2 linked regions of the Alligator mississippiensis genome follow. The main gene of each other region encodes a partner of the protein of the gene in region 2 in a complex. Links are inferred from orthologs where the notes say so. Each region holds a gene or a part of one and is shown on either strand. Other genes may lie near its edges.

Region 1 (3,744 bases), on a different chromosome or scaffold from region 2:
GTATGAAGAATATCCTAATTCTGAGTGTTCAGCTGTAAAACACTTACACTCAACACAAAATGCATTTATTTTCAACCTGACTGGTTCTGAGATCATCATGCTGATAAGAAATGAAGCTGCTCCTGATGTGTTTTGATGTAAGAAGTGAATTAAAAAGTATACAAGCTTTTTCATGATGATTGAACCAAATACATCAAGGTTTATTGGGTAGCTATAGAGATAATTAAGTAGTGTGGGGGATGTGATATTCCTTGTGTTTTAATGGAGAAAACCATATCAGTTTGCATAGTCTTTGATGGGAAGTGTAAAACCAGGACAGACTTATTTAAAAGCTTTAAAAAAGAGATTTCTTACAAACTTTCCCTTCACCCTTTCTTCTGGGGACAAGCAACATATAGTTGCAGAAAGATAGCCGTGCAGGGCTTTTCCCCCCTGAAAAGCTCCCAACCAGCAGGGTGGAGAGGACACAACAACTGTGGGAGAAAGGGTGTTGCTTAGACCGTGAATGCGATGAAAACACCGCACAGGTTTCCAGCCTCGAGATCTTCCCTCTGGGCTGGTCCCTAGTTGAACCGAACTTCAGCCAAGAAGGAAATCCCCACAGCTGCCCGGGGCTCCTCAGCTCTACCTCCCCAGTCACTCCACATCCCCCTGCCTGCCAAGCTGTGGATCACTTCCAGCAGGACTTGGAGGGAGTCTGAAGACAAGCTCTATCTTGTGTAGACTGATCCTTGCTCACCCCACTCTTGCCTCCTCATTCTCCTTCCTACTACAATCAATCGCCTGATGCCTATTACTCCAGAGCCCTCCATAAGACCTAATGACGGGCTCCAGGGCTATAAACTGTCCGCACACCTGGCCGTTGTCTGCCTTCCCCACCCTCTCTCCAAACTTGGGGAGTAGAGAAGGCCTCGTCCCTCAACAGGTGTTCGCCCAAAAAACCCAAGCGATTTCCCTGAGGCGGTGTGGAGCCGGGGCAGGAGCCGCGGGCTCTGCTGGCTGGACGCCCCCGCCCGGCCGCCGGCTTTCCCTCCCCCGGGAGCGGCTCCTCACCCCGGCCGGGAAGGGCACAAGGCTGAGGCCGCCCGAGGCGCCAAAGAGAAGATGTTTTTTCCGCCCGGGGACGCAGGAGGGCGGCCGCAAGGTGTCAGCTGCCAGATGACAGCGCTCAGCTACGCACACAAGGGATGGCGGGTGGGAGACGGAGCAGCCGGCGAGGAAACAAGCTGCAGCCGCGCTCCCGGAGCAGGGCACCGCGGGGCTCCGCTCGCCCATTGTTTCAAAGCGCGCCGGGCTCTTCCCGCAGGCTCGAGGCTGAGCTGTGAGGCCCGGAGGACGGTGTGTGCAAGCGGGCAGGGAGCAGCAGCTCTAGCCCGGCTCCCCCTGCCCTGCCCCGCGACCCCGGGGGGACCCCGAGCCGCGGCCCCGCGGGAGCGCACAGCACGGCCCCGCCGCGCCGGGACGAGGAGCGGGAGGAAAGGCGAGAGGCGCAGGAGGCAGCAGCAATGCGGAAACACACAGGGCACGAGACAGACAGGGCAGCCCCCGGAGCGGCCCGCAGCGTTACCCGCGGGCTCAGCCGCGGGCAGGAGAACAGACACGGCAAGCGGGAGGTGCAGGGACTCGCCTGGACAAGTGGATGGACAGACAATACAGACCACTGAAGGACCAAAGACAGGATGCCAGATGCACACAACGCTTAACCCCTGCTTACTGTGGGCTCTTGGGGTAGAAGGGAAGGGTGACATGGCTGAGGTCCTGGATGTCAAAGGCGGTGGGCTCGGCGGAGATCGCCTGCCGCTTGGTCCGCTGCTCGCCCTGCAAGGTGCCGGAGCCCTGCTGCTGCGCCTGCTGCGTGGCGGGCCGGATCACGGAGCGGTACTTGTCCAGCTCGTTCTGCAGCTTCTGGATCAGCTCGTCCTTCTGATCCAACTCCAGCTCCAGCTCGTCGATGAGAGCATCCCGCTGCCTCAGCTCCTCGATCTTCTCCTGCAGCGCGTACTGTAAATCCCGCAAAGTGCCCATGCTCCTCCTCGGCCCGCCGGCTCCTGCCTCGGAGCCTGGCTCGTCCGCTGCGCTCCCGGCAACTTTCCCCCAAGTGGCCGCTGCCTCCCACTTCGGCCAACTTTGCCGATCGCTCCGGATCGACCTGCCGCCGGCAAATGCCGCTCGCCCCTGAAGCACGCCCCCAGCCCCCAGCCGGCAGCCTGCGCCGAGCCGCGCCACGCCGCGCCGCGCCGAGCAGAGCCGCGCCGCGCCGCGCCGCGCCGGGGTGACTTGGCCGCGCTCCGCGCTCGGTTATGGGAGGAGGATTAGAGGCATAATCCGAAAGGGAAACCCAGCGGCGCCACTCCGCTGAAGGCTGGGGCGTGAAAGGTGATTTCGATCTGCCTGCGTCAGGCTAAGACTGGAGAGAGGCACACACTCACCGAGGGGGAGGGGGCACGGAGGAAAGGGGCGTCTGCAGGATGCCGTAGCACATGCACTTTCCCTCTGCCTCTGGCACCGGGGGGGCCGCTCCGGGGCCAGCGCAGCCGAGCCGAGCCGAGCTCCAGCCCGCGGCGGAGGGGCAGACCCTGCCGCTCACAGCTCGGGCTTTCAGGCGAGGCGCAGCATTTCACATGTGCCTGCCTTGCCCCTGGAAACCGGCCACGAACCACGATCTCCGCTGCCCCCACGGTCCTCTTCACACGCCCCCGCTTTGCCTGGGCATCCCCGGCCGGCTTTGCACTCCTGTCTGTTTACTCCTTAAGTCTCCGTCAGGAAAACCAGGCAACAAGCACTGCTAGGGAGCAAAGCCTTCGAGTTCCAGTGATCTGGGGGGAGCTGAAGCCCTAGGGTGCAGACATACACAAGCACAAGCTTTGCTCCTGTGGTGGGAAGCTCAACAGGGCAAGCCCAGCTTCCTCCAACTCTACCCGGTGTGTGGGGAGCAGGGAGGACCTCCTGCCCCACCAAAGGAAAGCCTGGCAGCCCCTGCCCCAGGCACAGTGAAACTCTGGTCTGGAACATAGCACTGGACCCCACAGGCACAGTCCCACCCCTAAAGCCAAAAAGCAGGCATGTCACACATCCTGGTTACAGGGTGCTTCCAAACCAGATGTCATCTTAATGCTACTGAACTGGACCAGTTCTGACAGTAATCACCCAAATAAACACTGCTTGAAGAAAGAACATGGCTAGCTGCTCCCAGGGTGCAAGCCCCAAGTATCTCAATTAGATACATCCGACAACAAAGGCATCAAAATGGCATCTGTACCAAAATCCTGCAGATCCAGATTTACTTAGTTCCTATCTTTCCTATTTCACTAGCTCGGTAGAGAATGAGTATCTTTCTACTTCACCGAACAGTGCAAACCCAACCAAATCCTGGCTGAACACCACTTACAATTCCTTGGTTTTACCAATTTTCAAGAGCCATCATACAATTTCAGTTGTCCCGTAAAAATAAAAAATCCTGTCTGGAAGAGGAATCCTACTTACTCCTGGCAAGTGTTGGTCCCTTTTCCCCTTTGCCTTCCTCCCCTCCCCCATACTGTAATCTAAATAACAAAACACATGCAACTACTTCCAGAGAAAAATCCCTATACTGGTACACTGGTACGCTGGCTTAAACTGCTCCATCCAGGTGCACATTTGGATTTATCAAGCATGATTTATCAAACATGCATGTGCTAGGACGAAGCACTAACATTTGATTTCTACACTTAGGCAATAGAAGGGGCCTGGTCCAGCAACATCCAG
Region 2 (3,744 bases):
AGTACGACCTTGCCAAACAGATGCCTGGCTCCAGCATTAGTTCTTGAAGAAGCAAACTGACAAGGTGTTAATTATTTCTGAACTCTCTTCCCCACCCTCTCCTGACCGTATGTAAAAGTAGCTGGTTACAGAGAAAAAAAAGCCATTTCCCACACTTTGGCTCCTCCCTCATGTTTCAAAGGCAAACTGAAGCTAATCACACTGTTTTGTTGACTTCCTCCCGAGTACCAGCATAAAAGGGGTCCAAACAGCTCCATATTTCAAGAGTTAACGATTGCTGCACTACCAGCAGACGGAAAACACTTTCATGTAAACAGGCCGGGTCTAATGTCAGCGGTGGAATGGCAGATTGAAGAGAAAAAACAAACTGGATTATTCATCCAATAAAGACCATGTCAGAAGGTCAGATTCCCAGGTGGGCCCTATTTGAGGGCTGCTTTGAAAAAACAAGGAAGCAGTTCTCAAACTTCATCCAGCACCCCCCCACCAACTCAGTCTGTCCTTTGCTGCTTGGCATATGCCAAAGTTACCCACATACAGAACCCCTGCCCACACCGCCGCTTTCCACTGACCGACTCGCTCCGCTCACATCTCCTTTGACAACAAGCGAAGCTCGGAGAAATATGCCCTGTGTGTCATATCAGATCTCCTGAAGGCAGCGCTCACAGCTATTGTCAGTATTGGCCAGGCAACTGGTGTGAGGCCACTGGCACTTCACTGTAAGCATGCAGCATTGTTACCCACCGAGCACACAGGAACAGCGTACTTGATGACCATTTACTCTGACCCCCTGAGATGAGTTTCAAGCAAAGCAGTGCTTAAAACAAAACAATGGACAATGCCCATTTCATCATCCACAGAAGTGCATTTCTTTTGTCCTAGGCAGGTTAAGTCTCAAAGGGTGCATCTTGCACCCCTTGCACTCTGGACTTAGCAAGAAAACAAGAAGGGTGCAGAATTAAGGGCTTTGAACCATAGGCTCCTGGGGAAGGCATGCCATGCACACACCTGTTGAGAGAAAATTTATCTGCTGCCTTATCAAAAACAATAAGGGCATGTCTTGACCGCCCCCAGACCATAGTAGTATAGTCCTCCAGCAAGGGGCCAGAAGCATTCAAGTATGCCCAGACACAACAATTACTGCAAAGGCCCAGGACCCCTAATAGTGGCCACAGTGCATCCCCCCTCCCTGGGTAAGACACATGGAGCAGGCAGGTTGTGAGCACAGTCCAGGCACAACAGATATGCCCAGTGTTGGAAGAAGACAGGGGATACCGAACAACCCTGAGCAAAGCCTTCACTTCTCCAAAATTCACATCTCAACATGTCTGCTTTTCATTTGGAAATGGACTCCCTGTGCCCCAGCAGCCAGATTTTAGGAAGTCTGTCACATCTGGAGTCCACAGGCCGTTGTCTTTCTGATTTGCTACTTTGTCCTACAGCACAACCCACTGCACATACCCAGGCTGTGGGACTGGATGGCAAAATTATTTGATGCAGCCATGAGAACGGTGTGTCTGTGTCAGGGGGCCAGGCCTAACCCTGTACTGTTCCACTAAACTGGCTGTTACATACTTAGTACTATACAGGAAAGTCCCCCCCCCCCCCCACTTCCTCCTAGGAGACCACAAGCTGTTGCATTAGACCAGATGTAATATCTCCACATGTTCAGAGGAACGACAGGACGGGACTTAAACAAGCAACCAAATCCAAAAATGTCCAAAGTAGCTAGCAAATAATTAGGCTTTTATCAACAGGATGCAAAACAGCAGAGAGTTGCGAAGCACTGGATTTCTTCCCCGACCCCCTCCCTACCCTCCTTAAGTCTAGTTATTGTAGTCCAGGAAACCACTAAATATTTAGTACTTGTGGGTGGATATTTTGGAGGGTCGTGGTTACAACTGCCCAGCATTTGACCATTTAAAGAATATGATCGTCTATAGCCAAGTTCTCCAATAGCATTCATGTGTGTTTACATAATACAAAACATCCCTATAACTCCGTGTCAAGCATAAAAAAAGCTATAAAAAGTTAGTTCTAACACATTCCCCCTAAACCATCGTGGCAGAGGCGCAGGCCTCACCCAAATCCGAGTCCCTTCAAGCTTAAGATGGTCTGAAAAAAGAAATCTCATGTACTTGGGTTGTTTTCTGAAGGCAGGGCGGGGGAGAAACAGCCGAGCTGAAAACATGCAAGTTACATCCGTCTCATCCAGAACCACTTGACTTCAGGCAGCATTTTTTGTTTCCCCCCACCCAATCAACTAAAACGGTTTTCCAGTATACAAACGCAGTGATTTATTGGGCTGAGAAAGGGACTGCTGGATCTCCCCCAAGCTCGGCTCCTGCCTCCGCCGCGGATCCCGTCTGCCCAGGACACGGCACGTCTCTCGCCCGGGCTCCGGATCCGTGGACGGGGACTCGCAAGAATCCAACATCTCTGCCCGGGAAGCAAGTTCAGCTCACATAAACAAGCGACTTCCTCACACTCCTCCGCTCGCGCCAGCGGCCGCGCGTCCCCGTTACACGCGCCCCGTGTCATCCCACTCCTGCTTTTCCTTCCGTGTCCCCACATCTAGCCCTCGACACCCCTCGCCCTGCCAGGAGGAGCCGGACGCTTCAGCCCACGGCCGCCCGCCCGTCTCCTGCCCTCGGGCCTAGCCCACCTGTGCAGCCCGCACCTGCAGCCCAGCCCAGCCCAGCCCGAGCAGCCAGGGCCCCAGCCCCCACTGCAGCAGGGCAGCTGGACCAGCCCCAGGGACGAAGCGGCAGGAAGGAGAAGGACCAGGGGCAGCGGGCTGTGCCCAAAGCATCCCCCGGGGAGCTCTCCCCGCCACGTGCCCGCCACCGGGAGGATGCCCGTCCTACCTGCTCAGCAGCCACCCGGCGCTGCCATGCTCCCGCCCGCCCCGCGCCGCGCGCCGCCCGCACACATGCTGACTGCGCCCGCCGCCGCGCTCCGCGCCCGCTTATATGTGCGCGCCGGGCGCCTGGGTAATGTAGTCCCGCCGCGCCGCCCCGCCCCGCCCCGCCCCGCCGCACCACGGCACCCCCCACCCCATCACGTACAGCTGGCACCGGCACCAGGAGACCCCCCCCCCCCTCCAGCCGTGTCCCTCTAAGTGTAACCAGAAGTCCTCCCAGGTGTGGCTGCCACTGGCACCAGCAGACCCCCCAGCAGTGCCCCTCCAGGTATAGCTGGCACTGGCACTAGACCCCCCCCAGCAGTGCCCCCCTCCCCAAAAATAGCTGGCATTAGCACCAGAAGACAACCCAGCCATGTCCTCCAAGGTATAGTTGCGTACTGGCACCAGAAGACTCCTCAACAGTGTCCCCCCAGATGTAACCAAAAGACCCTCTCAGCAGTGTCCCCCCAGGTATCACTGGCACTGGCACTAGAAACCCCCCTCAGGAGTGCCCCCCCCCCAAAAAATAGCTGGCATTGGCACCAGAAGACAACCCAGCCATGTCCTCCAAGGTATAGCTGCGCACTGGCACCGGAAGACCCCTCAACAGTGTCCCCCCAGATGTAACCAAAAGACCCCCTCAGCAGTGTCCCCCCAGGTATCACTGGCACTGGCACCAGAAGACCCCCCCAGCAGTGTTTCCCCAAGTGCAACCAAAAGACCCCGCAGCAGTGTCCCCCCAGGTACAACCAGAGGACCCCCCAGCATTGCCCCCTCCCCGGTATAGCTGGCACTGGCACTAGACCCCCCCCCCAGCAGTGCCCCCCTCCCCAAAAATA

The links.
Region 1: ITPR1 (region 2) and PRKG1 share a complex: the UniProt entries of both Homo sapiens proteins name them as parts of the cGMP kinase signaling complex. The link is inferred for Alligator mississippiensis from reciprocal best matches to the Homo sapiens genes ITPR1 and PRKG1.

The regions. Positions count from the first base shown.
Region 1 is NC_081829.1:65,211,474-65,215,217, forward strand, and holds the start of PRKG1 (cGMP-dependent protein kinase 1), read right to left. Parts: upstream 2,544-3,744; 5' UTR 2,026-2,543; coding exon 1,715-2,025; intron 1-1,714. UniProt on the Homo sapiens protein: Serine/threonine protein kinase that acts as a key mediator of the nitric oxide (NO)/cGMP signaling pathway. GMP binding activates PRKG1, which phosphorylates serines and threonines on many cellular proteins.
Region 2 is NC_081835.1:11,705,919-11,709,662, reverse strand, and holds the start of ITPR1 (inositol 1,4,5-trisphosphate receptor type 1), read right to left. Parts: upstream 2,942-3,744; 5' UTR 2,868-2,941; intron 1-2,867. UniProt on the Homo sapiens protein: Inositol 1,4,5-trisphosphate-gated calcium channel that, upon inositol 1,4,5-trisphosphate binding, mediates calcium release from the endoplasmic reticulum (ER).